Linked DNA regions of Mus musculus. The protein of the gene in region 5 interacts with the protein of the main gene of each other region in a pairwise test. Links are inferred from orthologs where the notes say so. Each region holds a gene or a part of one and is shown on either strand. Other genes may lie near its edges. The genes, in order: Rbm48, Aplp1, Ccdc90b, Gdf9, Tk1, Gapdh and Cops6.

Region 1 (4,300 bases), on a different chromosome or scaffold from region 5:
AAAAGAGCACTTGCTGATCTTTGAGAAGAGCAGAGTCAAATCCCAGCATCCATCTTGGGTGGTTCACAACCACCTGTAACTTCAGCTCCAGGGGATTTGAAGTCTTTTTCCATACCAAAAAAAAAAAAAAAGTTTATGAATAGCAAAAGCCAGAAAAAGATATGGTTTAGATAAGGTTAGTGATTAAAATGAAAAAATGGCTAACATGAGCTAGGAAGGCTGCTCCGGTGGAAAAGCCCTTGCTGGAGTGCCTTGGCTCAGACCCCTGGCATGCACGTGAAAGCCAGGCACCGCACTGTGCCTGTAATTCCAGTGCTCACAGGGTAGAGATAGAAGGATCACTGAGTTTGACAGTCACCAATCTAGCCAATGAGCTCAGTGAGGGAGGGGCCCAACCTCAAAAAATAGGATAGAGTACACTGTAGTGCACACAAGCCTTTGAACCTGGTGGAGATGGGTAGGCAGAGTCTGGAGGAAGTTTTGAGTTCTAGGTCAGCTGGTCTACACAGCCAGTTTCAGGCTAGTGTTCACTCACATACACACACACACACATACACACACAGGAATATGCACACACATGCACCCCCCCCCCCCCCCGCCAAAAGGGGTTAACATAAAATAAAGCATTCCTTATTGGAATACAAAGTTGATTAACATAGAACTATACAAATAAGAACTGTCATTACTAATAGTTACTTTTTGTTTGTTTGCTTGTTTTTTGGAAACAGGGTTTTCTCTGTGTAGCCCTGGCTCTCCTGGAACTCACTCTGTAGACAAGGCTGGCTCCACCTCAAGAGGTCCACCTGCTTCTGCCTCCCTGGTGCTAGGATTACAGGCATGTGCCACCTCTGCCCGGCTCTACTATTTCCTCTTAATAGGAGGTACCAGTCTACTCCCTTTACATAAATTGTCCCATTTCATCCTTGCTCAGTGAACCTCAAGAAGTAGTCCTTTTTGCCATATGGATTTTAGGAAAAGAACAAAAATTTGCTTGGAGGACTAAAATTCTCCACAGTCATGAATCCACAGGACTGATAATTTACTTCAAACGTAATTCTTAATCTACCACACTACAGGTTCAAAATTTGCCAAGCACAGGTATGAGAGGATGGGAAGAGTATTGTTGTAAAGTCAGCCTTTTAAAAGCTTGAAGGAAGAGCTGGGATGTCACTCACTGTTAGAGTGATTAAGTCGCAGATGTGAGGCCTGGTGAAAAACAAACTGGAAGGCGAGGTGGAGTGGTGCATACCTTTAAACCCAGCACTCGAGAGTCAGAGGCAAAGGCAAAGGGATCTTTGAGTTCAAGGCCAGCCTGGTCTACAGAACTAATTCTAGCACAGCTAAGGCTATCCAAATAAACCCTGTCCCCTCCCCTCCTCCCCCCAATCAGGAAGACTGAGAGCAAGAAGTGCTTCTGTGCTTTGGGTACATTTGGGAAACAGTTGGGGCCAAAATGACAGCAACAGGAATAAGATTTTAACAGGAGTTCTGCTTAACTTGTACATACCTTGCACTCTGTAATTTCACAAATTTAATGAGATAAACTTCTGTAAAATCTTCCGCTGGGTATTCATCTAGAGCGTTATACTGTTCAATCGCACCATACAGAGCAAAACGCTCAACTAATTCCTTCATGGCTCCCACTGCAGGAACTCCTTGTATTAGTAAGTACTGAGACTCCAAATTGATTGTATATACCTAAAGTCAAAGGAGACCTCGTTAAATGTACTCTTCAAACAAGCCTATGGCAAATCGGTCCTCCCACCCCCTTTTAAATGGAGCTTTGAAAACAAGAAACAATCCGGTCTGCAAAACATACACACTAAACTGTCACTCTTCTGCCTAAAGACTACCACACTCCACATAAGGGTATCTGACTAAACCACTTAACAGACGTCTTTTCCAAAAGCTGACTCCAGAGAGGTTAATGTAAACAGCCACTGAACACTCACTCACCCTGGGCTTGCCCTGTGAGAAGCGCTATTGTAAACACATAGGATACAAAGCTAAAAATAGTGGGTTGGAGGTTTGGTAAGCAGCTAACCGAGGGTAGTGATAACCTTTGGTACCGGGGCCCGGGTTCTTCGTGCCCCCTCCACTTAGAGATGGATCTCACAACATCCCTGCCATGCCTTTATGGAGGCAGGCCTTGGGGAGCTAGTGCTCACAGGAATTTAGTGTCCCTGCCGAGGGGAGAGAAGAATCCGAGTCACTCTACCTTGACCGCGCGAGGGCGTCGGCCCTCCCGGTATTTGGCCCGCGAGTCACACACAGCCGTCTGGACGTGGTGATCGAATACGCCACCAGGTTTCCCGTCACTGGATGCCATCTTGCCGGCTCTAGTCCCCCGCGCCAGAACAACATCCGCCAGCCGCGCTCCTCTGAGTCCAATAAGAGAGCAGGATGGACCAGGCGTGCTAGGATTGGCTGAAGGATCGACCCCATCGACGATCATCTCCTGAGAGCGAGAATTCGACGAGCGACGTGCCGCCCCCTAGAGCTTCGGAGGTGGCCCGAGGGTGACAGCGGCCGGGCGTGGGAAGAGGGGGGCGGGCCTGATCGATGTTCTCGGGTTCCGACGCTCTCACCTGACGAGAAGCCGGTGGACTCCGCTCTCCGGTGAGAGTTGAACCTTGGGACAATGTGGAGCAGCGATCGCTTAGCGGGTGCGGGGTCTGGTGGGGCGGTCGTGACGGTGGCCTTCACGAATGCTCGGGACTGCTTCCTGCATCTGCCGCGGCGCCTCGTGGCCCAGCTTCACCTGCTGCAGGTAACGCGCTGGCGGGACGCGGACACCACTGACGTCTCGTGGGACTAGGGTCAGCTGACACCTTTTCCTGCAGGGACATCGTCTGCCACCGACCCCGAGCTGAGGCGTGAGCGAGGGCCCCCTGCGGGCATGGCGTGGAGTGGCAGCGTGTGCATCCACACCACGGCTAGTGTATCCTCAGACCCTACCGTGGAATTCCTAGTGCACCCCTTTAACTCGGTTAAAGCAAGCTGAGCATGCAAGGGTTCTGCCCCAGCAGTCAGAAGCGGCCCTCACTCAAGGATGGAAAGTTCTAGAGAGCTCTTACAGGTTTGCTTACAGGTTGCTAAAGCATTATCCTGCCAACGAGTTGCCGGTGCAGCGATAGAGGTGTTGAGTGGCAGACTTGGTTTGTAGATTACCAAGGTTTCCAACCTGTGCGAAAGGTTAATAAAAGGATAGATAGCTCTCCCTGCTCCGGAGGACTTCGAACATAGCAAGAATATGTGCGGCGAGGGAGGTGGGGCGGGGTGACAAGGTGATGGAATTATTCACACCCCACACTTTCACCTCGGTAGCTAGGATTACTTGGACCTCAGCGAGCTGTCTGGATTCTGTCATTATGGTGTTTCAAGGCTATTAACCATCGGTGGAAATACAGCATCCATATTTTCCTAAGAGTGAGCAGAAATAGACTCTCTTAGTTTGAGTGTATTCATGGGGTTAGAGTATTTGAAATCTAAAATCCTAGATGCATGGTACCTGAACACTGGGTCATAAAAAAAATATACAAGAGTTTGAAATGACTTCAAGTATTCTACCTTTATTTCCTCTTTGCTACATTTATCTTGCTTTTACAGTCCACCTATCAGAACACACCAATTTCATCAGAACCATTCTTACTGTTAGTTTATCTCCACCAAATATTCTCTAACTCTCTGGTTTGCTTTCTGGTGACTGAAAGGAATCATTCACTGTTACCAAATCCCAGCTTGGATCATTATTCCCTGTCATTTCTGATGGGGATTTTTCAGTGTATTTTCAAATCTCAAATTAAGCTTACCACCCCATGAGTTTAGAAAAATGCTTCCTTATGGTCGCTAAGAATTTGAACCTGACATGTTGTTGCTTCCTTGGATTCATCACTGTTTAGGAATTACATAGTCTTGGTCTTTATTATTATTTTTATTATTATTTGAGAAGTGAAGAAGTAAAATACTAAGCATTTGGATTAAGTCTTGCATGCTTATATCTAATCTTTATTGTTTATAGAAAGGTGGAGCTAGATACACATGAGGTTTCCTGTCCTGGTTTTTTGTTTTGTTTTGTTTTGTTTTGTTTGTTTTTTTCGAGACAGGGTTTTTCTGTGTAGCCCTGTCTGTCCTGGAACTCACTTTGTAGACCAGGCTGGCCTCGAACTCAGAAATCCGCCTGCCTCTGCCTCCCGAGTGCTGGGATTAAAGGCGTGCGCCACCACGCCCAGCTTCCTGTCCTGGTTTTGTGTAGTATTAATATGACTTTTGTTGAGAGGTCATTGCTTTTAGCAATTAC
Region 2 (4,004 bases), on a different chromosome or scaffold from region 5:
GCATGTGTTACTGTATACTATATACATTCCTGGTCCCTGAGACCAGAACAGAGGGATGGGTCCCCTAAGACTGGAGTTATAGACAGTGTGGGTGTTGGGAATTGAACCCGGGTCTTCTGAGAGAGCGGCCAGTGCTTTTCATCACTGAGCCTTCTCTCAGCAGTTAGCCTGGAACTCTTGATCTTGCTGCCTCAGGCCCTCTGGGATTACAGGTGCACATCACCATTCCACTTTAAACTCTTTTAATAATACACCACTACCTCACCCCACCCACATCCACAGAGATGCACACACACACAAAGCAGAAAGACAGACAAATGTGGGCAGGTCCACACCATACAGATGCACACACACACACACACACACACACACACACACATCTGGGCTGCTTCGGGGGGGGGGATTAGAATATTGTACACTCACTTAAGATAAAACAGTGAACCCTTTAGGCAGAAGACTTGAGGTGGCCCTTAGAAAGGGTGAGAATGGGGGACTCCACACAGTGGTCCTCAGGTGCTGGTCTTGGAAGGCTATGGTATCCAGCACCTGACCCGAGTCATCTGTAAAGAAAGGGTTTAGTCATGGATTTTTGGAGGGAGTATTTGAAGATCCAGACACCTGGCAATCAGGGCAGGAAGGCTTCCTAGGTTTGAGGAAGCAAGGGTGGGAGACTTGGCCTCCGGTCCTGAGACAGAAGAGGCCTGGAAGGGAGCAGATTTACCTAGCTGTAGCTGTGTTTTGTCTTTTGAGACTGGGTTGCATGTAGGTAGGCTAGCTTCAAACTCCTATCCTCCCGCCCCCTCCTCTCAGGTGCCGGGATTACAGGCTTTCCTAGTACACTCCCTAAATTCTTGACTGGGAAAATTCGGAGGTCTATATTCCTGGGACCTCAAGAGAGGGATTTATGGAAGACCCCCACCCCCATGGATTCTGGCATCCTTGGAGGAGGACAAAGCTGATGCTGGGTGTCTGCGTTTGCCAGAAGAGAAGGCCAAGGATGAAAGTCCAGAAAACGGCTACGCCCAGGACTGAACCTAGTGACTCGGTCTTCACGCGGACAGTGACACCTGGAATCTTGAGGGGCTGGGACTTGGAGCAGGCTCCCTCCCGGGGTTCCGGAGCCTCTCAGTGCGCAGAGCCGCCACGCTATTGTCCTGGCTGGGAAGGCGGGGCCGGCGCGGGGCGGGGCTGGCGGCGCCGGCGCAGCCCGGGGGCGGCGGGAGGAGGAGGCGGCGGTGGCGCTGGGAGCTCCTGTCACCGCTGGGGCCGGGTAGGGCCGGGCGGGAGCGCAGGGGACGTGAGGGCCCGAGGCCCGGACATGGGGCCCACCAGCCCCGCCGCTCGCGGTCAGGGTCGCCGCTGGCGACCGCCGCCGCTGCCGCTGTTGCTGCCACTGTCATTGCTGCTTCTGCGCGCGCAGCTCGCCGTCGGGAACCTGGCTGTTGGGAGCCCCAGCGCGGCCGAGGTGAGGCCCGGCCGGGTCCTGGGGATGGGGAAGGGGCGGGACCGGGCCTCGACCTGGACGCGGGACGGCCACCGCAGTCCTTTTGGCCAGGTGGCCTGCCCCACGCGATCCGAACTGTAGATTTTCCTAGGTTCCTCCATCGTCTGACGTCCCTGCCCCCTCCCACCCGCATCGTCGGACCTGGCTCTTTCCAAGAGCCTCTGGTCCAAGAAATCCAGAGCACCCCTAGACGACAAAGCCCCAAGACCTGCCCACCTAAGCGTAGGACGCACCAGGCAGTAGGCGCTTGGCTCTAAGAACCCAGGTCCCTTGTATTATCTGGACCCACATGAACCCCCTGCCCTCAAACATCCAGTAGTCCGGGCCTCCACCCACTACTCAATCCGGATATAGCTCCTCTAGTCCTTAAAGGTCTGATGTGCAGGCCTGCTGGGAAGCTGGGCCCTGTCGTCTTTGCACCCCCTCAGTGGGAACCTGAACTGGGGATGGAGGGAGGAGGGGCCAGAACGCCTGGGTTCGCCCCCCGCCTCCCCCAACACGATTCAAGTTTAACCCCTTCAGGCTTCAGACCCAAGCCGCTGGGGCGGGGGCGGAGCCTGTCTTCTCAGCAACAAGGCCGCGAGAAACGGGGCGGGGGGGTGGGGACCCAGGTCACCATAGCAACGGGAGAGCTGGGGCGCTCCAGCCCCACGGGATTTGTTTCCCGGGGAACGGTCTCTCCACTCAGAAGGTGCTTAGAAGGAGCTGGTGCTAGAGATAGGGGCAGGAGCCCTATCTGGGTTTTAGGGAGCAAAGAACCAGACAACACAGATGACATCGTTGCCCTGGCTCCTCACTGCCCCATCTGCCTTCATTCCCAGGCTCCGGGGTCGGCTCAAGTGGCTGGACTATGTGGGCGTCTAACCCTTCACCGGGACCTGCGCACCGGCCGCTGGGAACCAGACCCACAGCGATCACGACGCTGTCTTCTGGACCCGCAGCGCGTGCTGGAGTACTGCAGACAGGTGGGCGGGACCCCACGGGGAGAGGCGTGGTCAATGAGAAAGTGGATCCAAGCTGGGGCGGGGTCGCCCTTGAGGAAGCTGGACTTGGCAGAGTCTAGGGAGATGAGAGAATCTGTAAAGCCAGGGAAAGCTTGGGGGTCTGTGGTCAGTGAAGAGGCCCCTCCTAAAGGGCCAGCGCAAACCTATTTTGAGAAATTAGGGGCCGCGGGGCGGCGGTGGAGACTGAAAAAAAAAAAACCCAACAACACCCCCCCACACCCCCCATGGACTAATCAAGGTCGCCTGAAGAGTGGCATGGTTTAGGAATCTATGGATCCGTTTAGAAAAAGTGGGAGTGTAAGTGGGCGTGGCCGAAAGAGAGGCAAGGCTTAGATCAAGAGACCTTTTAAACCAACAAGATTCAGTAAGTGATGGAGCCCAATGAGAGTGGCTGCCTGCCTAAGAGACGTGCAATGAAAAGGCGGGGCTAATACAAAGAAGAGTTACTTAGTAGCTAAACAGAGAAAGGCAGGAAGTGAAAGAGCAAGAAACCTGATTGCCGAGCAGGGTTGCCTTCAAACGTGGGCTCAGAGAAGTTGAGTTTGGCATGTCAAAGCCTGAGGACCTTTATCAAGGCCTCGTGAGAATGGTGAACTTAAGGGAGACCACTAGGGTATGACCAGTGGACCCGAAGCTTAGCATCTGAGGCTTACAAATTAACCTGTTAGTTCTATAGACAAGAGACGAAGGCCCAGGGATGTCCTTAGGAACCAAGACACGTAAAAAGGAACTGCTCAAGCTGAGATTAGTGACATGGGCCCATAATCCCAGTTATTGGAAAGGCTGAGGTAGAAGGATCACAAATTAAAGGCCCTCGTAAGCTACAGAATGAGTTCAAGACCAGTTTAGGAAATGTAAGGAGACCTGGTCTCAAAATAAAAAGTAAAAAGAGGGCTGGACATGTAGGAGTTTGGTGGTAGAGCATGGCTTTGGCATGTACAAGGCTCTGGGTTCAATCCCCAGTACTGCTGCCAAATGAGAGATGCAGAGGGTGGGGGTCAGCCAGTAGGTTGATCCCCCCCCCACCTCCTCCCACACACATTGTGTCCTACAGATGTACCCCGAGCTGCACATAGCACGCGTGGAGCAGGCTGCACAGGCCATCCCGATGGAGCGCTGGTGTGGGGGTACCCGGAGTGGCAGATGCGCCCACCCCCACCATGAGGTTGTGCCCTTCCATTGCCTGCGTGAGTCACCCGCTGGGGGGTGGGGTGGGAACTGAGGTGAAGTGGGAGTCTACCAGAGATGACTTTGGTCTACATTTGAAGTCTGGGTGATGGGCTGAGAAAGCTATGAATGCCTGGCCTCTGAGGTGGGCAGGCCTGGGTGATGATTCTGGTGATGATTCTGGTGTCTCCCATTCCCCAGCTGGCGAATTCGTGAGTGAAGCCCTGCTAGTGCCCGAAGGCTGTCGGTTCTTGCACCAGGAGCGTATGGACCAGTGTGAGAGTTCAACCAGGAGGCATCAGGAGGCTCAGGAGGTCAGGGCCTTGTCC
Region 3 (4,125 bases), on a different chromosome or scaffold from region 5:
ATTTGATACCAGGCAGTGGTGGTACATGCCTTTCATCCCAGCAGAGAGGCAGTCAGATCTCTGAGTGTTTGAGGCCAGCTTAGGTGACAGAGCCAAGTTCCAGGACAGCCAGGGTTATACAGAGAAACCCTTTTTTGAAAAACAAAACAAGAGTACATTTGACATCTATACAAAACCCTACATACATCATTTTAATTTTTTCAAACTAATCTTGTATGTTTACAGTGAGATAGCAAATTCAAAATTAAAAGACTTAACAATTTACAAAATTTCTACTATAGATCTCTGGACTATCTTGTAGAAAATGACTCTTTTGGAAAAGGCCAAAATTTACTTTTTAAAAAGGCATATAAAATAGAGTTCACTAAATCTAATTATTAATTTATTGGCCGTTTTTAGAACTGAACCACTTCAAAGACATAACTGGTAAGTTTTCTTATTTGTATATTTGTATGTGGATGTATGTATGTGGGTGTGTGCATGTAGAAGTATGTGTGGAGGTCAGAGGTCAGCTTTCAGGACTTGGCTCTCTTCTTCCATCACATGAGTCCCAGGACCAAACCCAGCTCATCAGGCTTGGCAATAATACCTCTGCCTGCAGACTTATCTCGCCTGGTACCAGCTTGTTATTTTTCTATAAAAATTCAAAGAATTAAAGCATATATTCTCAGGGAGTAGGTGGTGGTACATGCCTTTAATCCCAACACTCGGGAGGTGGAGACAGGTGGATCTCTGTGAGTTCAAGGCCAGCCCGCTCTTCAGCTCAAGGACAGCTAAGATTACACAGTGAAACTCATTTCAAACTAACAACTCCAAAGAACATATTCTTACATTATAGTCTAGTGGCATAATGTATATGTTGCTTCAGAGAATCTTGGCAAATTAAATGAACTAACAAAAATGCTTCCTCTCCACCTGAGGACTGATTCAGTACTTCTGGTCATAAGGCTTGGCAATCTGTACTTAGAAGAATCAATCATCTGTAGTGTTTCTGATGTACTGCTAAGTGTGGATAGTAACAAATGAAGACTGCAGCACCATCGACAAAAACGTAGACAAATCACGGCTTCCTCTGCATCTCACCATCTACTTGAAAATAACTATACTGTGGTATTTCCATGGGATAAGGACCAACTTTCAAATTTGCTAGACTATTGACATTTGTCTATAGTAAGCAGTAAATACTTGTTACACTGAACAGGGACACAAACCATGCACTAATTTTAAGGGGAGACAAGATTTCCTCAAGAGTAACCAGACTTCAAGTGGAATAACTTGAAAATTGTACCAAAATATTAACATTTTTCTGGGGTGTTATATTTTTGGTAAAAGTACACAGATAAGTTGAGATTTGAATTATTTCATCAGATTCAAAACAATGCTACCCCTTTGTGTGTGAGGGCACACATACCTAAGGAGAGAACAGAGGAGGTCTTTGTATCCTGCTCTGTCATGCCCTTCCTAAGTCTTTGATAGGGCAGCTTTTATTGAACCTGGAAGTGGCTGGGGGTTCAACTTTGTGTTGTTATGCTTGTGTGCAGCACAAGTTTCTACCAGTGGACCCACCTCGCCACCCTTTTCTGAAAAGTCCACCAGAATGTGTATTTATAATAACTACCTAAATATGGATTCAAAGATGTGACTAATTCTAGCAGCTAAACAGTAGCCTTGCAAGGGCAGCCTTGATTGAAAGTCAGCGGAACAAATACAATTAAATAACAGGGTGAAAACAAAACAGTGGCAAACAACAAAACCACACAAGTGTGGAGGGCGGAGAAGTGTTTTTGGGTACTGAATAACTCAGTTTATCATCATACACAGATCCAGGAAGAACGAAATGTGGAGGTTGGGATGCCTTTTACGGCGGAAAAACTGAAAAGCACAAGTATAAAAAAAAGCCTTGGAAATAGTTCTCAGAGTAAAGTAAGATATTCTCCAGGATATACAGACTAACAAAGTGTTTGGAAACGCATAGGTTCCAGGACACTTAAAAAACAAAACAAAACCCTACTATGTGATTTGTAAATCAGAACACCCGCAAACTACCTAAGAGTTCATAAATGGAGACGGAACCCCGCCCCGCGCCCCCACCAACTCAAGCCGAGAGGAGGCGCAGGTCCGCAGGGGCTGGGTCTAGGAGGAAGGAAGCCCTCCAGCCAGACCCTGTCTGGAACGCCCAAGACCCACCATCCCCGGAGCTCGCGGGTGGCTCTGCGCGGGTGGGCGGGGCCCTGCAGGGGGTGTGTCACTCTCGCGGACGCCTGAGCGGGCACACCCGCCCGAACCTTCTCCCTGAGCGAGTCTTCGTCTCACCTCTCCGCAGGGCGGGTGACAGACGCCCATGAGGAGTTGAAGTCCAGCGGATTCCGCCGCCGTCAGGGCGCAGGAACCGCCAAATCCAGCGGCTCCTCATAGTCTCGGAGCCCCGCAGGTCAGCAAGGGGAAGCGGAATACGCGTTGATTTTCGCTGAGGCTTTCGGACAATGAAGTCCTCTCACCATCAGGATGCTGGGAAATGTAGTTTCCGGTCTGTCACCAAAGCACCTACTTGAGAGGTTTTTCTTCTACAAAGCTAGGCCTCTTCACAGAGCCACACTTAACACGACTCAGAGCTTATCCCCCTAGCACATCGCCCTTTTCCCATCTCTTCCCGCCTTTACCGCCCTAAGAAAGCGGGGTCTTGGAGAACCTTCTGGCGCCCATTTGCGGGCGGCGAGTTAGTCCCGCAGCAAGCTTCCCAGACCGAATCCAGCGTAGCAGCATAGCATCATGGGACCCGCAGTCCTTGCTGCTGAGGATTGTGGGGATGAGACCGCGTTGTAGCATCGACCAGTGCCCGTGGAAGTCCAAAGCGTATCACACACTTGCAGTTTCGCGTCTCTCTGCTTGGCCCTCTGGTGCACTGGAGGACCAACTGTTTTAGGCCTTTTCTTCAGGGAAACGAAAATTCTCCATTTCCTGGGTCGGCATTGTTCATGATTTAACATTCTCCAACTTCAGTTACCAAAGTCATTGCCCCACCTGGTAAAACCTTGAAAGCAATGTACTAACTAGTCTGTCGCTTACCCAGATTGCAACTTTGTGGGAATCAGCTACCCACCAGCCACCATTTCAAGCACTGAAGCTCATTAAAAACAAAACTTGGTTCCCACCAGCAAGCACTTTAGTAGATTACACATAGAAGGAAATTAAAATGATTCTGTCGTGGGTACTAGGGACAGAGACAGGAGAGACAGTTCTCCTGGGCTGCCAGGTGGGTCCCTGGTATTCAAGCGAAGCACTCTAGACTTTAAAATATTTTCCAATTTCATTTTCAGAAATATCTGAATGCCAGCTAGGTTTAAAGATTAATAATTCGAAGAACAAAGAAAGAATTCCAACAACAATTTAAGTTCTTACTGTACAGGATTTTTTTCCCAGGCTATGTGGGGATTATAAGGATTTCTGCTCTCCAAGTGAAAGACCCACAACATGAGGACTCCCCCACGTTCTGACTCAGGAGAGGCGACACCCCAAATCACGCATGAGAAACGGTCTTGCTGCAAACTGCAAGAGGACTTTTAATTCAAGAGTGCTCTCGGGACCACAGTAATACACCACGCAGGGGTAGAGGTCCCTGGCGCCCCAAGTAGCTGGGTAAGGGGGTATTTAAAGGAAGAAACCACAACTCAAGGAAGTGGGGAAGGCATTGTTGGAAAATACCAAAGATACCAGTTAAGAGTCAAAAGGAAGTGCAAAGTCACAAGAGTCACAAGGAATACCTGGTAATTGTTCGGGTTATCTCTCAAGACAGTTTCTAAGAGCCCCTAACAATGGCACATTTGCATAGCGGGTTCCAGCAATGGTCAGGGGGGGGGGGTCAGGGTAACTTTCTTTGAATGAACACTCTTTGAACCCAGGAAGCGGTGGGTAGAGGAATGTCTGTTTTATGACTAGCATACCTTGGAGCATTGAGTCACATTCCCAAGCCTGGGCCTAAAGGCCCAGAATTTTGCTTTTATATTTTTTCACAAGAACTTGTAATAGAAAAACAGGAGAAGGTAGAGAATAAGGAAACAGTAATATCTTAGTATCATGTAAGTTTTTAAACAATTAATCTTCTAGTCCAGCTGAGAGTGGGATGTT
Region 4 (4,049 bases), about 64 Mb from region 5:
CTCACCTCCAAGGCCGGGACACAAATACTTTAATCAAGGACTAAAACACTGTCCTGATTTCTGCCATCTGGGTGGTTGGTTAAAGAATAAATACGATGTCTATTTAATTGCATTTGCTGATGTCTCAAGATTTTTCAACCAAAGTATAGTCAAGTGAATTGTAGACCAAAACAAGGGCATCAGGATATTGTACTGTCACTACATTTTAAAATATGTATTTGGTATGTAAGTGCTAGGGGTGTAGGTCAGAAGACGAGCTGTAGAAGTCTCTTCTCCCTTTTTCTCTGTGGATCACAGGGGTTGAAGTTAGGCCTTTAGGACTGGATGACTTTTGGTCGTTAGGCTTGGCGGCAAGTTGCTATCTTGCCATTCCAGCTAGATATTGTGGCTTTTTTTTAATTGTTTATTTTCATTTTATAATGGGTGTTTTGTATTCCTAAGGATGCCCGAGAAAGGCATTGGCTCCCCTGGAAGTGGAGCTATAAATGGTTGTTCTAAGAAGAGCAACCAGTGCCCTTAACTGCCAGGTCATCCATCATCTTTCTGGCCCCAAGACATTGTATGTTTTAATTGCTCAAAGTTAAAGGTGATGTCCTCTTTTTATTTTGAGATGGGGTCTCTCAAAATTATGTAGCTCTGACTGTCCTAGAACTCTCTATATAGACCAGGCTGGCTTGAATCCACAGAGATCCACCTGCCTGTGTCTCCTGAATGCTGGGATTAAAGGCGTGAACCTCTACACCTGGGCCCTGATGTCCTTTTTCAAAGCACATTGCAAGTAGCTGTTGTCTTGGGCCAACTTTACAACCCCTCTACTAAGCCACCTGGACAGGCTGAACAGCCTAACATCACTGGAATTTCAGAACCCATTGTGACTTTGTTTCTCTGATTCACTGTGCAGTAAGCCATCAGTTATTCTAACCACCTGGACGTGGGAGCTGTGGAGATAGACGATGAATCAAGAGGAAAAAATAAACCTAATACTTCTGCAGTCACATCTCCAGCCCTAAGAGGTTTTGTTTTATAATTCCTTGGGTTTCTGTTGGGCTCTCACCTATATAAGTAGTCCACTAGGGTGACGATACTTGGTGGGTTTGAAATAAATGTCCAGGAGAAACAGGGAAAGAAAGCCAAATAAGTAGATAAATCTGTATCTAATGAGAACAAATTGGATAAAACCGTGTTGTCAGCTGACTGCTGTAGAGCTGATAAGAAACAATGTACAGCTAGGCATGCTTGAGGTCTGATTACAGAAGTGAAGTCAGTCTTCCACACCTAGATTTTATTTAAGGACCACGCCAGGGCCTCCCCGACCTTTAGAAAGAAGACTGGCACGAGGAGATGCGTTCCTTCTTAGTTCTCCCAAGTCATGGCACTTCCCAGCAACTTCCTGTTGGGGGTTTGCTGCTTTGCCTGGCTGTGTTTTCTTAGTAGCCTTAGCTCTCAGGCTTCTACTGAAGAATCCCAGAGTGGAGCCAGTGAAAATGTGGAGTCTGAGGCAGACCCCTGGTCCTTGCTGCTGCCTGTAGATGGGACTGACAGGTCTGGCCTCTTGCCCCCCCTCTTTAAGGTTCTATCTGATAGGCGAGGTGAGACCCCTAAGCTGCAGCCTGACTCCAGAGCACTCTACTACATGAAAAAGCTCTATAAGACGTATGCTACCAAAGAGGGGGTTCCCAAACCCAGCAGAAGTCACCTCTACAATACCGTCCGGCTCTTCAGTCCCTGTGCCCAGCAAGAGCAGGCACCCAGCAACCAGGTGACAGGTGGGTAAGAGGAGGTTGCTCAACTGGGCTGGGAGAAAAGACAGAGGCTTTACCGATTCTGTTACCAGAAGGAGCCACACTTTGATTTGGGTCCCTTGGTTTGTTTTGAGGCAGGATCTACCCCTGTTACCCAGTCTGTACTCAGAACTCTGCATCCTTCTGCCTCGGCTCCTTAAGTACTGGAATCACACAGGTTTTCACCATCCTGTGAATTCTATTTTGCATGATTCTCAGTGTCCAACTGAAACAAACTTTTTCTTTTAAAGTTAGCACTTTTTAAAAAGTTTAAAGTTTTTTTTTTTTGTTTTTTTGTTTTGGTGTGGTGGTACTAAGGATTAAATTGAGGGCAAGGGGTTCACATATGCTAGCTACGCCCTCTGCTACTACATCCCTGGCCAATAGCATTGATAACACTGTTTTATTTGTTTCCTACAGCATCTTTAGTTAAGAAACTAATAGATTTTATCTTGTTCGAGTTTCCTTTTTTAAATTTTTTTTTATTTTTTGAGACTGTCTCAAACTTGCAGTGACTCTCCTGCTCAGTCACTCTAGTGCTGGGATTCCAGGCACACAGCACCACGCCATCTCAATATGTTAAGGCTAGAAGAGACTAATGTCCTGAAAGGCCAAAGAAAGTTCTGGAGGCAGTTAGCATCTCTTTTATTCTACCAAGTTGTTGGCCTAGCATGGTGCCTAAAGCCTGCTTTTGATTTAGTATTGGGTGTGATCCGGAACATTTCCCCTCGTTTGCTTTCCTGGAAGAAGAAAGTTTGTCTCCACCTGCACAGTACATCTTTCTTTCTTTCTTTTTATTTATTTATTTATTTATTATATGTAAGTACACTGTAGCTGTCTTCAGACACACCAGAAGAGGGTGTCAGATCTCGTTACGGATGGTTGTGAGTCACCATGTGGTTGCTGGGATTTGAACTCTGGACCTTCGGAAGAGCAGTCGGGTGCTCTAACCCACTGAGCCATCTCACCAGCCCTCTTTTTTTTTTTTTTTTTTTTTAAAGGCAAAAACCCAAAACTATATGGCTGAGATGTGGTACCATTTATGTTTTATATACCAGGTGCCTGGAGTTTGACCTCCAGTACCAACAAGACAAAACAAAACTCACGTGGGGTTGCAGTGACACATGACTTTAATTCTAACCCTCAGGAGGCAGGAGCAGGCTTTGCTCTTTGAGTTCAGGGCCAGCTGGGTTTAGAGTTCCAGGATAGCAAGGGCTACACAGTAAGACCCCGTCTCTGTCTCCATAACAAATGAGCAAACAAAATCCCAGACCTCCAAGCGTTTGCCAACAATGGGGGACCTTTTTAGTAAGAAAGAAGAGTTGTGTTTAAAAAAATCAAAACAAGAAAACAAAACACTCAGGGCTTTGGAGATAACTCGGTGAATGAAGGCTTCTTCCACCAAGTCTGACAAGAGCCAGCTCCTACAAGCTGTCTTTCCACCTCTATTTGTGCTCCATTGAGAGAGTGTGTCCATTAACAGCCTCCCCCCAACTCCCCAACAGAGACACACATATATGCTGGCCACCAGTTCATACAAGCCATTGTAACTGTCTAGGGCAGTTGTGGCTGTTCAAAGCCACTCTACCCCGCCCCCAGCCCACTTTACTGCAGCGGCCTTATAGCCTCCATGTGTCCCCAATCTCAGAGCGTGTGATTACCACTGCAGACAAATGTTCTCAGTTGGCTTGTTGCTTTTTTTGTTTTGTTTTGTTTTTTTGTTTCTTTCAAGACAGGATTTCTCTGTGTAGTCCTGGCTGTCCTGGAACTCACTCCGTAGACCAGGCTGGCCTCAAACTCAGAAATCCACCTGCCTCTGCCTCCCACATGCTGGGACTAAAGGCGTGTGCCACCACGCCCGCCCGGCCGGCAGGAGTGTTGCTTTCTGTGGTCTCCTGGCTTTGTCTGTAAGGATGCCGCCACAGGAAGAGCCTCTCCTCAGCTGTCTGTGTTTGGAGCAAGCTGCTGGGTCTGAAACCGGATGGTCTAATAATTGTCTCTGGCTTCACTTCCCCAGCAAACCTGTTCTCCCTTTTTTTTTTTTTTTTTTAAATATATGAAATGTATTTGCATGTGTGAATTGGGGATGAGGGCCATGTGTGGAGAGGTCAGAGAAAAGTTTTCAGAAATTGGTTCTTGTCTTCCACCGTGGGGACCCTAGGGTTCAAACTCAAGTCCTCAAGCTTAGATGCAATTGTCCTTACTCACTGAGCTCTACCCACAGCCCATTCTCTCAATCCATAGCCAAAGGGGCCGTTGAACTCCTGG
Region 5 (4,191 bases):
GTGGCAGAGCATTTGCCTGTTGTGCTGGGTTCAATCTCTACCACCACGAGGGGAAAATGTAAGATGCCCACACTTAACACAGAAAGCCAGGAGGACACAGGTTCCTAAGCCAACACAGGAATCCTGAAGACAGTGAGTGCGTCTTCACACTGAGGCCTGGGGCTGGGCACCTTTGGCTCTCTCCAGCTGTCTCTAGCCTTGCTCTTCTCGTTGATATAATGGGGGTGCTAGACGCCCACAGGGTTGGAAGGGAGGTGTGTAAGAGAAACAATGTAAGCCCCTTGCTCAAACACAGCTGCCTCTGCCTCTTCCTGTTGAATGTTCGTCTTACATGCTATAGACCCTTCTCGTTCCGGTTGGTACCTGCTGGATGCTAGGGGCCTGGCTAGGCATCATCTTTTTTTTTTTTGTCGTCTTTTTGTTTTCTCATCTCTTGTAACTGTGTAGCTGCCTCGAGGATCAAGTGCTGAGATTACTGACATGTGCCAAAAGTCTTTTTATTTCCTCTTTAAATGTGTGTGCCTGCAGTCCCTTCTGGAGCTGGACGCTGTGAGCTGTCTTGATGTGGGTGTTGGAAATCCTCAACTCTGCGCCTCCGGAGGAGCTGTGGATGCTCAACAGCCGAGCCATTTCTCTAGCCCTCTGCCTTCATTTTTACTATTAGGATTTATGATTGATTGTATTTTAAAGTTTATTTTTTGTGTAGTCCTGGCTGACCTGGAACTCACTCTGTAGACCCGGCTGGCCTTGAACTTAAGTCACCTGCCTGCCTCTGCCTGGAATTGAATGCTTGAGCCACCCCCGAGGACACATGTTCCTAACTTTCAACAGATTCTAAGTGATGTCTGTCTGTGACCAAAACAAAGAAGCCTGTTTAATACAAGCTAACCAGTCAAGAAATCCTAGTGGAATGGTAATTAACTACAGCAAGCGCCAAAATGTGTTGTCCTGCTTTGTGTATGCCTTTGGTAACCCTTGCCGCAACCAATGGCAGACAGAGTAACCAAACAAATTCCTGAGTGAGAAGGTTTCTGGGCATGCTCGGTGTGAGCCATAGGAGTTTTAGCATGGGAATTCTGAAGCCGCTCAATACAGTCTGTCCCTGAAGGTGCCTGCCTTACTTTGCGACTCACAGCAAGGACCCCCAGCCTTGGCACCTTCCAGACTGTAGTTACAGAAACACAGAATCACACTGCACAACCTCAGAGTAAGGTCCAAACCCTAAGCCCCTTAGTTCCTGCTGGAACTTGAGTTTTCGCTGTCTTTAAAACCAGGCTAACAAGCTAAACCTGCTCTATGACGAGAAAAATGAAGAAATCTGGCGCTCAACGCTTGGAAATTTGGCTTGTGGGCATCCTAAAATTCCAGTCCCGGCTCTGGGCGGCTGCACCACACCTACCTCCGAAGACAAGTTCCTCCAGGGATTCTGGCCCGCAGAAAGGGAAGGAAACGCCATGGCCAGATCCGGAGGGGATGGTCGAGCTCCAGGCTTTTCACGTAGCTGAGAGGTGGGACGAGTCTTGTCTTCGTCCCGCCCCCTTTTGAGTTCGCGGGCAAATGCGAGCAGTAAGTCGAAATTTTTCCACCCACGGACTCTCGGTGCTAACTAAGGTTTGCACAGCAGCCATGAGCTACATCAATCTGCCCACCGTGCTGCCCAGCTCCCCCAGCAAGACTCGGGGGCAGATTCAGGTGCGGGGTCTGGAGTGGGGTCGGGTGGTGGCTGGTGCGGGGTGTACAAGGGGGAGACCCCTTAAATGACTTCTCTTCTAGGTGATTCTCGGGCCCATGTTCTCAGGGAAAAGGTAATGAATGGGCCTTCGGGGCGGTGGGCCTCCCTCTCTCTCTGCAGCCTCTCTCTCTGCAGGCCCTGGCTCTCCTCTCCCCCCTCCCCCATCTTCCCAGGAGCCTCTGACTAGGCGGCAAACGCGCTCGACCTCTGTGTGTACATTCCCGCCCAAAATTCGATTTCCTGGATTGCTGCCATCCTCCTGCCCAAGCCTTTTCTCTTGGGGAACCCTATCTTTGCTGAGGCGGACCACATGGGGGTACAATTGAAGACCCCAGCCCACATTACCCAGGAGCCCACCGAACTCTCATGTGTCCCCTGGGAGTTAGGCACCTTCTCTGACAGTTTCCTCATTCATTCCCCATGCGAGCTCTCCTAAAGCCTTGGAGCCCAATTAACTCTGAGGTGAGGGTCTAAACTCTGGGAGTCCCACCCAGAATAACAAACACACACTACTTGGGTTTTCTTTGCTTTATCTTGGGGTTAGTTTTTGTTTTTTTTTTTTTAACTCAGCGTCTTTATTTGTGGCCCAACTCAGAGATCCGCTTGCCTCTGCTGGGGTGCATCACCATACCAGGCACCTCATTATTTCTGAATGGTCTGGTGTCACCTCAATTTGTCCCTTGCCCCGAGGGTGAGGGCCAAACTCATGATCTGGGATCCAGAAGCAAGCTCTCTGGTGATTCTGTCAAAGACTTTGAAGTTCATTCATGAAAATTGAATTTTGTTCAGAACAGCATGGGGTGAACGGCTGCAGTTCCGGCTGCCCGACGCTAGGTGGTAGTGGCAGCCCGCCTTTTGCTCGGGCCTCATGTGCTCTGGTTAATTCTTGCAGCACAGAGCTGATGAGAAGAGTCCGGCGCTTCCAGATCGCCCAGTACAAGTGCCTGGTCATCAAGTATGCCAAAGACACGCGCTATAGCAACAGCTTCTCCACACATGATCGGTCAGTCCTACCCCTGAGCCTGCCCTTCGGAAACCCCTAAGCCTCGGGGCACACTGCTGCTAGCCTCTAGTGGATATGAATAAGTGCTCAAAACTTACTTAGAATAACCTGTCCCCAAGTGTCCATTGTACCCACGGAGGCTGGGAGAACCTGGGTCCCACTTGGGTAGAGGCTGCAGCCCTCTTGACTCCAGAGATATTTCCCCCCCTCTTTAGTTGGCTCTCTGCCATTAGGTAGCCGTCATCATTCTGAATTGTCTATCTATCAGCCCTTCCACTGGACATTTCCCTCTGAGCCCAAGGGTAGGTAGGAGTTCAAGAAAGTAATTTGTGCCTCTCGGGGTTGCTGGAGCTGGGCCAAGGGTGAGCAGCCTGGGGTAGAGCAGGTTTCTGAAGCGGAGCAGGAAGTGGAGCCGAGAACTACCAGGACTTGGGAGTTGGCCTGGGGATTCAAGCCAGGCTTCCTGCCAGACTCTGTACTGAGGTCTTTACAACTGTCTTTGTAACCACGGTGCCAGCGCTCAGGACGGGATGTGCATCCAGGAGGACCGAAATCAGAGGAGGCAACAGTGCCTAGAGTGGTGGCCACAGCTGGCTTGTTGCCTGTCCTCTCTCTGGTCCCCTCTACCAGGGGAGGGAAGAGAGAATTTAAGATGCCCGAGTGTTGTGTTGTGTTCTTTAGTTGGTTTCTTTTATTTTTTTCTGAGACAGGGTTTCTCTGTGTCGCCCTGGCTGTCCTGGAACTCACTTTGTAGACCATGCTGGCCTTGAACTCAGAAATCCTCCTGCCTCTGCCTCCCAAGTGCTAGGATTAAAGGCGTGCACCACCATGCCCAGCTTTGGTTGGTTTCTTAGGGAGGTGTGTGTTTGCACACAGGTAACCATACACCCGCGTTCAGAGGACAGCCTCGGGTTATAAGATCTGTGTTCCACACTCATTGGCCATATCTTTTTTTTGTTTTGTTTTGTTTTGAGACAGGAACTCTCTACAGACCTCTGGTTGCCCTGGAATTCACTCTGTAGACCAGGTTGACCTTGAACTCACAGAGATCCAACTGTGCCTGCCAAACGCTGGGATCAATGACATGTCCCACCACACCTGGCTCAGTATGCTCTCAAAGCAAGCCCTTTACACATTCAGACATCTCCATCCTGTTTTTGATTTGTTTAGGGTTTTTGCATGTAGATCTGCACGCTACTTGCTTGTCTGGTACCCTGGGAGGTCAGAAAAGAGCATCCGATTCCCTGGAACAGGAATTATAGATAATTGTCAGCTGCCATGTGGTTCCTGGGGGTAGAACCTAGGTCCTCTGCAAGAATGACAAATGATCTCTCAACCCATTTACTGAGGCAGGTCTCAGGTAGCATAGGTGGGTTATAACTTGTAACCCTCCCTCCTCTTCCTCCTGGAATTACAGGCTAGCAATCCCACACCCAGCCCACAACTCCTTCAGATC
Region 6 (4,208 bases), on a different chromosome or scaffold from region 5:
CACCCTTCCCACCCTGTTCATCTGGCCTGCTCCCCGCTCATGGGAAGCCTGGGCACGGGCCACACAGCTGTCAGTCTAACACAGCCTTGGCTCTGGGGCCCCAAGGAGGTAGGGCAATCTGGAAGGGCAAGGAGCCAAGACTAGATTTGGGGTGCAGCCCAGCGTGCTCCCTGCCTTTTAAGCAAAGGTTATCACCAGGCCAGCTAAACTTAGCAATAGGCTCTTGAGCTAGATGAGCAGGGGGCTGGTTTCATGTTGCACTGGCCTAGCAAAGAGGCGCCAGAGTCCCCCTGCCCTGCACCTGCTACAGTGCTCCCAAGCCCTTCCACCCTTCCCAGCCTCCCTACCCTTCGGAGTGAAGAATCCCGGTCTCGAAAAGACAAAATAAAACCAAAGAATGCCTTTTCTCCCTTCCACTTGTGGCAAGAGGCTAGGGGCTTCCCTGTCCTGGCTCAGGGGTATAATATTTCCTCTCCTGTGTTCTCCCCTCACTGATCTCACCCTGTGTCCACGAGGGCAGCCAAAAAAGGAGAGTCCCTGGCTCCAGGGCCAGTCAGCACGTCCCTGGATGGGGAGGGACTTCCGCCCTCACGTCCCAACTCTCCACCCTGGGGCTACAGTGGGTGAAAGGGGCAGTGTCTCCTAGCCTGGGCGGGGCAGCTCTCAGGTTCCGAGGAGGGATACTATAGGAGGCCTCTGAGCCTCCTCCAATTCAACCCTTAAGAGGGATGCTGCCCTTACCCCGGGGTCCCAGCTTAGGTTCATCAGGTAAACTCAGGAGAGTGTTTGTAAGTCTCAATTATCAGGTTTCCAGGCTGCAGGGCATCCTGACCTATGGCGTAGCAATCTCCTTTTCAAGCGTCTTCCTGGCCACCCCCTTGCCCTCACAGCGCGGTACACAAGCCAGGCCTCTGGCCAAAGACAGAAGCCAGGAGGGGGGGGGGGGCAGATAGGGAAATGGGGCTCCTGAGGGCTCCCGCGGGAGGAAAAGTGCCCCCACCCTGGCATTTTCTTCCACTCTTTTTTTTTTCGGGGGGGGGGGTTGCTGTGTCACTACCGAAGAACAACGAGGAGAAGATCCTCAACTTTTCCGCAGCCTTTTCAATAATGGGGAGAGGTTCGATGATGCAGTGGCAGGGAGACCCACACTTCTCCATTTCCCCTGTTCTCCCATTTTACTCGGGAAGCAGCATTCAGGTCTCTGGGTCCTGGATGTCCTTGGTGCACACTCCAAGGACTCCTCGTCCTTAAGTTCATAGTCTGTATTCCCTGAGTCCTATCCTGGGAACCATCACCCGGTCACCTCCTGAGCGGGGCAATCTCAGCTCCCCTCCCCCTATCAGTTCGGAGCCCACACGCTTGGTGCGTGCACATTTCAAAAATGAGGCGGGTCCAAAGAGAGGGAGGAGGGGAAATGAGAGAGGCCCAGCTACTCGCGGCTTTACGGGTGCACGTAGCTCAGGCCTCTGCGCCCTTGAGCTAGGACTGGATAAGCAGGGCGGGAGGCGGGGCGCGCGTCATCAGCTCCCCCCCACCATCCGGGTTCCTATAAATACGGACTGCAGCCCTCCCTGGTGCTCTCTGCTCCTCCCTGTTCCAGAGACGGCCGCATCTTCTTGTGCAGTGCCAGGTGAAAATCGCGGAGTGGGCCGCAGGAGGCCGGGGACAGTCGGAAACTGGGAAGGGGAGTGGGCACTGTACGGGTCTAGGGATGCTGGTGCGAAGTGTGCAAGCCGGACCCAGGCTCCGCATTGCAGGGGGGGGATGATGGAGGACGTGATGGGGCGCACGGCGGGAATGGAGGCGGGGTGGGGGAGGGGACTGCCTGGTGTCCTTCGGGCCACGCTAATCTCATTTTCTTCTCCTGCAGCCTCGTCCCGTAGACAAAATGGTGAAGGTCGGTGTGAACGGGTGAGTTCCAGGGCGGGGCCCTGCTCCGTTGCCTACGCAGGTCTTGCTGACCCGGGGGCTCTGCAGTACTGTGGGGAGGTGGATGAGGTGGCCGAAGCGCCCAAGGAGACCTCAAGGTCAGCGCTCGGACCTGGCGATGGCTCGCACTTGCGGCCCCCAGCTGCTGCACCTCTGGTAACTCCGCCTTTGCGGGGATGAGCGGCCCGGAGTCTTAAGTATTAGGAACAACCCCACGCGCCCGTTCAGACCCATCCCGTAATCCCCAGTCCGGGGCTTCTTTCTTTACTTTCGCGCCCTGAGGAGTCACGTGCCAGGAGGGAAGCCCCTCCCCCATCTCCCCCTTCCTCGGGGTCGGTGGCATGGCGTTGTGAGGTGCATACCTTTGCGCATCATCTCCCAGGCTTGGGCTTCCTTTAGGGTAACTGGCCGCCGCCATGTTGCAAACGGGAAGGAAATGAATGAACCGCCGTTATGAAATCTTGCTTAGGCCTTCCTTCTTCCTAGCTTGTGACTAACCTCATTCCTCTCGGCTGGGTGGAGTGTCCTTTATCCTGTAGGCCAGGTGATGCAAGGCTTCCGTGCTCTCGAGAGAGTTCTACCTCACAATCTGTCTCACCTTATTAGCCTTAAAAGCCCTTGAGCCTTATTGTCCTCGGGCATAATGCGTATTCTAGATTATTCTCTGAAAATCAAAGCGGACTTACAGAGGTCCGCTTGACCTCCCAACCCCAGAGGTAGTTATGGCGTAGTGCAGAGCCGTGGGATGGGGAGCTGAGTCATGGTGGTTCTGAAAAGAAATTTTCCACCACAAAATGGCTCCTGTAGTAGCAGCCCCTTCCATCCCCTGCACTTCCCATCACAGCCTCGCACTGACCCAGGCCCTATAGGCCAGGATGTAAAGGTCATTAAGAGGATTGGGTGTCCCTGCGCCTCAGAATCCTGCCCTTCTCCCCGTTCCATCCTCCAGAAACCAGATCTCTCCACTCCGCCCTGATCTGAGGTTAAATTTAGCCGTGTGACCTTTCTGGATCTGGGGTCTGAGCGGGCTCTCCACCCTGCTCCCCCTACACACATCTGTTGCTCCGGCTCTCATTTTTGCCCGAGAAGAACAGGTGTTTCGCGAACGAGCCCTGGGATTAGGGTTGGAAACCCCCCACATGTTTTCTCAGTCTTTCCCCTTAGTTCGAGGGACTTGGAGGACACAGGTGGGCCCGCCCTGTGCTGCTCACGCTGACCTTTAGCCTTGCCCTTTGAGCTTGCTGATGAATGAGTTCACAGGTCTGCCCTGTCCAGGGGGTGTAGCCTGAAGTCCAGCCATGCTGGAACAAACTTCCCAGGGCATGAGTGATGGGGGTGATGTGCCAAGCTTGTACCCAGACTGGGGCAAACTGCCACTTCTTAAGAGACTTAGAATGACTTGGAGGAGGTTTGCTGGGCAAGCAATCACCTCTTGGACAGGAAAGAAACCTCCACTTTATAACCGTGCTATAAAAGCCCTGCCAGGCCTCGGCTGCTCAAAGAATATAAAATTAGATCTCTTTGGACTTTCTAGGGTGGGAACAGTCTATATTTGGGTTGTACATCCAAGCATTCAACTAGCTTTATTAAAGGGAATTCTGAACAAAACATGAACTTCCTGATGCATACATTTCTAATGTACTGTGTCTGCATAAAGGCTTGTACCTTTGTTGTGGTACGTGCATAGCTGATGGCTGCAGGTTCTCCACACCTATGGTGCAACAGTATTCCACTCTGAAGAACATGAGATAGCCTGGGGCTCACTACAGACCCATGAGGAGTTCTGATCTCAGCTCCCCTGTTTCTTGTCTTTCAGATTTGGCCGTATTGGGCGCCTGGTCACCAGGGCTGCCATTTGCAGTGGCAAAGTGGAGATTGTTGCCATCAACGACCCCTTCATTGACCTCAACTACATGGTCTACATGTTCCAGTATGACTCCACTCACGGCAAATTCAACGGCACAGTCAAGGCCGAGAATGGGAAGCTTGTCATCAACGGGAAGCCCATCACCATCTTCCAGGAGCGAGACCCCACTAACATCAAATGGGGTGAGGCCGGTGCTGAGTATGTCGTGGAGTCTACTGGTGTCTTCACCACCATGGAGAAGGCCGGGGTAAGTGGCCGGAAAGCTGAAGGTGACGGGCACCCTTGATATGGTGCAACCTGAAAACCAAGAACTGAGTCTGAAATCAACTTCTTTCCCTTAAACAGGCCCACTTGAAGGGTGGAGCCAAAAGGGTCATCATCTCCGCCCCTTCTGCCGATGCCCCCATGTTTG
Region 7 (4,176 bases), on a different chromosome or scaffold from region 5:
CACACCATCCCTTCCAGAACCATCATCAGAAAAACAGTCCCCGCATTCGCCGGCCAATGCCTTGTCGGTCGTAGAGGACGTTGAACTTGTTCACAAACTGGTTCATTGTGTTGCACGTTTTGGTGATGGTGCCGAGGTAGGCCATGAGCCCCACGTCATTGCATTGCTGGGAGGGAACACAAAGAACCAGTTCCCCAGGGGTCCCTCGTATTAGCCAGTGACACTTGAGTTTCACCTCCTACCTGTGAGGTGGTGTGAGCCCCACCTCCCCATCAAAGGTGTCAACACTCACATCATAAAAGTCTGTCTTGAACTTGTCAGTGCTGAGAACTGGAAGACAGTGACATAGGGCATAGGCCTCCCGCAGGATCTCATGGTTGAAGGGAACCTCTCCTAAGGACACAAGGAGGCTGCACTGATGTGGATGCTGTCACTTTTCCAGGAGAGGAAAAATGTTTCAAAGTGACAGGCACCTCTCCTACCTGCTTCAGAGGCCTTGACATATTCTAAAATGAGCTTCACACGGCTGTGCAGCATCTTGATGGCACTATGCTGAGCTATCAGGTGTTCAGCCACTGCAGGGGAATGGGGCAAATGAAGGGCGGCCTGTGGCCACACCCAACCCCTACCTCCAAAGACTGAATTCCCCTCCCTTACCAGTGGAGTTCTCCCCACTGCCTGTTGCTGTCATCCGGGCCACGTGGTCTACACCGATCCGTTCAGCTTCCTCAGTGGCCAGAGTGTAAGTGAGCTCAGCAAACAGCATTGTGGCCTGCAGAGTAAAGAGTTCTCAGATAGGGAGAGTCAGGAAACAGACCTAGGCCTAGGCAGATGGCTCAGCAGGTAGAGTACTTGCTGCACAACTGAGGATCTCAATTTAGAGCCTCGGAACCCACATTAAGTGAGATGTGACAGCATGTGACTGTAATCCTGGAACCCCTACAGCAAGATGGGAAGTGGAGACACAATTCCCAGAAGCTCACAGGCCAACCTGCCTGGCAAACAAGTGAGTCTGTCCCAAGGTAGAAAGCTAGGATGGACACCCAGGGTTGTCCTATGCCTGCACACGGCATGCAGGAAACAGGCTAAAAGGTTTGAAGGTTGCAGGTTATATATTACCTCTCCATTGATTATATCGATGACAGACTCAAAAACGCTGACAGGAAGCTGTAAAAACACAGACGGAGACAAGAGAACAGCTCTTACTAAAAGCAAATGCACTTGAACTTACACACATGCCAGGCTGGCTTTGAACTCACAATCCTGCCTCAATCTCCTGAGTGCTAAGATTGGTTACAAGTGTTGTCACCACACTTGGCTCATGCTTTCTCTAGGTTTTACACACATTACATATGGAAACACCACTGAAGAGATGAAGTCACACAACTGATGGGTGTAAACAGCAGGGTAGAGATTCAACTCAAGCTTTCTCTAATACACATAATGTCGGTAAATTAGAGCAAAGGCATAGTGGCAGATGATCAAGAAAAAGGGGACATTGGGTCAACAACACTCACATCTGTGTGCTTGGTCATAGGGTTCAACTTCAGAAAGAGCGGACTCTCAATTATCTCACACACCTAGAAGATAAGGCAAAGCCCAGGAAGAGTCAGTATCTCCTCTTCCCCTAACCTTCTGTTCATTTCCCCAACATGCACATATTTGAGCTTCTATACCTGCTTATGGACGTGGATGTCTGAGGGGTCAGGTGGCCCCCCTGTGGTATACCAACCCAGAAACTCCAGCTCCTTGAAAACCTGTTTAACTGGAGAAGAAGGGGCCAGAGTAAATATTCCTTTAAACCTCTCTTCCTTAGTTTGATGGGCCTGGTGTGTTCTTTCCGGTTCTCCCCTCCCTCCTCATATTTTGGGTCAGTTTAAAATAACTACACCTAACTAACCTTGAACTTCTGACCTCTTGCCTCTATCTCCTGGGTTATATGGTACTGAGGATTGAACTCTGGTCTTCCCGAATGTTAGGAAATGCACTTTACCCCACTGCCCTACATCCTCAGGCCTTTTATTCTTTAAGACAAACAAAACAAAACAAAAATCTTCCCACTTTTCCTTCCCCACCCACTTCTATTCCCCTCTCACACTGCTCCTCCTTGGTGTAATAATATTCTTTGTCAATGATAATCTTCTCTTCCACGGTGTGGGACAGCAGCTCAAAGGAGTTCATCACTTCGATATTTCGCCCCTCCTGCTTCCCGATCAGAGCCCCAATCACTAAGGGGAGAGAAACAGAAGCGCAAGGAAACTAGGTGAGGAACAGGCGTCTCGGAAAACCTTTCCCGAGTCGGCGTGAATCAACGACTGGGGAAACAATAATTTGGAAGAAAGGGCGCAGGGGAGTGACTGGAGGAAATCTCCAAGAGATTTTGAGATTTACACACAACACTCACCCTGCATAGGCCGCCCCTCCTGGGAGCGCATGCGGATCCAATGGTCTGAGATGTTAAGGATGACAAGGGGATGAAGAGCGACGGAAACACTCCCAGTCACTCCGGAGGCCATCACGCTGGGGACTGTTAAAGGTGAAAGGAAAACATAGCGGCTGAGAGCTCGGGCCCACACATTTTCCCCTAGACATGGAAGCAGGGGACCAGCAGAGCCCGGCCGTCCATCGCTGCCCTCAAGTTATCCTGGGACAGGTTTAAGAAGTACTCAAGACCACTTCTCAAGGGCAACTCCAGAAGTCGGTCTGCGCACCCCGTTACCTGCTGCATCCACTTCCATGCCGCTGCTGCCTCCGCTCCCATTCGCCCCCGCCGCAGCTGCCGCCGCCATTTTCCCCGCGCCCGCCAGCCACGGCCCGCCCCTTTCCTTCTCGGCTTCCGTCGGGGAGCGGTGCATGCTCAGTGTATACTTGGTGCTGCTAATGGGCGGGGCAGCTGCCAGTACTTAGTAGCTCAGGGTGCTCTGCGTGTTGTGCTGCTGCTAGCGGTTCTCATGTAAACCAGCCTGGCCATGAGTTCTGTAGTGTGTATCTGAAGATGGCTTTGAACTTTGATCCTCTTGCCTTTACCTCCCAAGGAGGGCTATTAGTTTCCAGGTCTCAAGTGGATACACTGTCAATACTAAACACAGAGAAAATTGCGATCAAAAGGAGGAAAGGCTGTAAAAGGGAATGGGGAAGACAATTTATTCAGGATATAAAATTTTTCATGTTGCATATAATCTATAGAGACTTGATCACTTGTTTGTTGAGATAGGGTCTTACAATGTTGGCCAGCTGGTGGGAACTTGCTATTCGTCTAGGCAGACTTCTAGGAGATCCGCCTTCCTCTCCTTCCTGAATGCTGAGATTAAAGGTGTGTACCATACCCAGCATGCCTAGCTTTTAAAACGATGTACTGAGGATCTAAACTCAGGTCCTAACACTTCATCCCCTGAGCCATCTCCCCAGTAGTAATTACTCTTGAATTGTTCAGCTTCTTCAGTTTCAAGACAACCTCTTTACACAACTTAGCAACTGCTATTGGGAGGGCTTGTGGCCCACGCCTTTAATCACAGCCTTTAATCGAGGCGGGCAGACCTCATGAGTTCAAGGCCAGCCTGGACTACAAAGTGAGTTCCATCACAGCCAAAGCTACACAAACAAACCCTGTCGCACAAACAAAAAAAAAAAGGTGGGGGGAGGGGAAGAGTTGCCTTGGTCATGGTGTCTCTTTACAGCAATAGAACAGTGATTAAGACAATTACTTGTAACAAAAAAGAAAACCAAAAAAAAAAAAAAAAAAAAAAGACAATTACTTGCCCAGCATGGTGGCACACGCCTTTAATCCCAGCACTTGGGAGGCAGAGGCAGGCGGATTTCTGAGTTCGAGGCCAGCCTGGTCTACAGAGTGAGTTCCAAAATAAAAAAAATAAAAATAAAAATAAAAATAAAAGAAAACGTTTCCTACTTGGACAATAACTAAGGCTAAGCGACCTGCTTAAATAGCCAAGAAAGAGTATTTGGTCCACAATCATTCATTTGGGGCCAATAACAGCCATTTTTTTAAATTTTTATTTTGGTTTTTCGAGACAGGGTTTCTCTGTATAGCCCTGGCTGTCCTGGAACTCACTTTGTAGACCAGGCTGGCCTTGAACTCAGAAATCTGCCAAGTGCTGGGATTAAAGGTGTGCGCCACCACCGCCCGGGCTACTTTTTATTTTTATTTATTTATTTTTT

Evidence for each region.
Region 1: the proteins of Tk1 (region 5) and Rbm48 interact in a two-hybrid assay, tested with the Homo sapiens proteins (2 studies listed by BioGRID and IntAct). The link is inferred for Mus musculus from reciprocal best matches to the Homo sapiens genes TK1 and RBM48.
Region 2: the proteins of Tk1 (region 5) and Aplp1 interact in a two-hybrid assay, tested with the Homo sapiens proteins (2 studies listed by BioGRID and IntAct). The link is inferred for Mus musculus from reciprocal best matches to the Homo sapiens genes TK1 and APLP1.
Region 3: the proteins of Tk1 (region 5) and Ccdc90b interact in a two-hybrid assay, tested with the Homo sapiens proteins (2 studies listed by BioGRID and IntAct). The link is inferred for Mus musculus from reciprocal best matches to the Homo sapiens genes TK1 and CCDC90B.
Region 4: the proteins of Tk1 (region 5) and Gdf9 interact in a two-hybrid assay, tested with the Homo sapiens proteins (2 studies listed by BioGRID and IntAct). The link is inferred for Mus musculus from reciprocal best matches to the Homo sapiens genes TK1 and GDF9.
Region 6: the proteins of Tk1 (region 5) and Gapdh interact in a two-hybrid assay, tested with the Homo sapiens proteins (2 studies listed by BioGRID and IntAct). The link is inferred for Mus musculus from reciprocal best matches to the Homo sapiens genes TK1 and GAPDH.
Region 7: the proteins of Tk1 (region 5) and Cops6 interact in a two-hybrid assay, tested with the Homo sapiens proteins (2 studies listed by BioGRID and IntAct). The link is inferred for Mus musculus from reciprocal best matches to the Homo sapiens genes TK1 and COPS6.

What each region holds. Positions count from the first base shown.
Region 1 is NC_000071.6:3,593,748-3,598,047, forward strand, and holds the start of Rbm48 (RNA-binding protein 48), read right to left. Parts: upstream 2,801-4,300; 5' UTR 2,771-2,800; coding exon of another isoform or gene 2,642-2,770; 5' UTR 2,456-2,641; coding exon 2,219-2,455; intron 1,699-2,218; coding exon 1,508-1,698; intron 1-1,507. Other genes in the region: Pex1 (peroxisome biogenesis factor 1), read left to right, coding at 2,642-2,770. UniProt on the Homo sapiens protein: As a component of the minor spliceosome, involved in the splicing of U12-type introns in pre-mRNAs.
Region 2 is NC_000073.6:30,442,783-30,446,786, reverse strand, and holds the start of Aplp1 (amyloid-like protein 1 precursor), read left to right. Parts: upstream 1-1,204; 5' UTR 1,205-1,318; coding exon 1,319-1,465; intron 1,466-2,325; coding exon 2,326-2,469; intron 2,470-3,562; coding exon 3,563-3,695; intron 3,696-3,876; coding exon 3,877-3,989; intron 3,990-4,004. UniProt on the Homo sapiens protein: May play a role in postsynaptic function. The C-terminal gamma-secretase processed fragment, ALID1, activates transcription activation through APBB1 (Fe65) binding. Couples to JIP signal transduction through C-terminal binding.
Region 3 is NC_000073.6:92,559,824-92,563,948, reverse strand, and holds the start of Ccdc90b (coiled-coil domain-containing protein 90B, mitochondrial), read right to left. Parts: upstream 2,801-4,125; 5' UTR 2,414-2,800; coding exon 2,314-2,413; intron 1-2,313.
Region 4 is NC_000077.6:53,432,037-53,436,085, forward strand, and holds the start of Gdf9 (growth/differentiation factor 9 precursor), read left to right. Parts: upstream 1-1,249; 5' UTR 1,250-1,369; coding exon 1,370-1,766; intron 1,767-4,049. UniProt on the Homo sapiens protein: Required for ovarian folliculogenesis. Promotes primordial follicle development. Stimulates granulosa cell proliferation. Promotes cell transition from G0/G1 to S and G2/M phases, through an increase of CCND1 and CCNE1 expression, and RB1 phosphorylation.
Region 5 is NC_000077.6:117,823,215-117,827,405, reverse strand, and holds the start of Tk1 (thymidine kinase, cytosolic), read left to right. Parts: upstream 1-1,391; 5' UTR 1,392-1,399; coding exon of another isoform or gene 1,400-1,456; 5' UTR 1,457-1,557; coding exon of another isoform or gene 1,558-1,626; coding exon 1,627-1,692; exon of another isoform or gene 1,693-1,773; coding exon 1,774-1,805; exon of another isoform or gene 1,806-1,903; intron 1,904-2,104; exon of another isoform or gene 2,105-2,194; intron 2,195-2,624; coding exon 2,625-2,735; intron 2,736-4,191. UniProt on the Homo sapiens protein: Cell-cycle-regulated enzyme of importance in nucleotide metabolism. Catalyzes the first enzymatic step in the salvage pathway converting thymidine into thymidine monophosphate.
Region 6 is NC_000072.6:125,162,974-125,167,181, reverse strand, and holds the start of Gapdh (glyceraldehyde-3-phosphate dehydrogenase), read left to right. Parts: upstream 1-1,408; 5' UTR 1,409-1,630; exon of another isoform or gene 1,631-1,870; coding exon of another isoform or gene 1,871-1,888; coding exon 1,889-1,911; intron 1,912-3,745; coding exon 3,746-4,043; intron 4,044-4,141; coding exon 4,142-4,208. UniProt on the Homo sapiens protein: Has both glyceraldehyde-3-phosphate dehydrogenase and nitrosylase activities, thereby playing a role in glycolysis and nuclear functions, respectively.
Region 7 is NC_000071.6:138,159,726-138,163,901, reverse strand, and holds the start of Cops6 (COP9 signalosome complex subunit 6), read right to left. Parts: upstream 2,801-4,176; 5' UTR 2,790-2,800; coding exon 2,720-2,789; intron 2,528-2,719; coding exon 2,405-2,527; intron 2,229-2,404; coding exon 2,097-2,228; intron 1,766-2,096; coding exon 1,677-1,765; intron 1,581-1,676; coding exon 1,518-1,580; intron 1,168-1,517; coding exon 1,120-1,167; intron 773-1,119; coding exon 658-772; intron 576-657; coding exon 483-575; intron 394-482; coding exon 293-393; intron 167-292; coding exon 26-166; 3' UTR 1-25. UniProt on the Homo sapiens protein: Component of the COP9 signalosome complex (CSN), a complex involved in various cellular and developmental processes.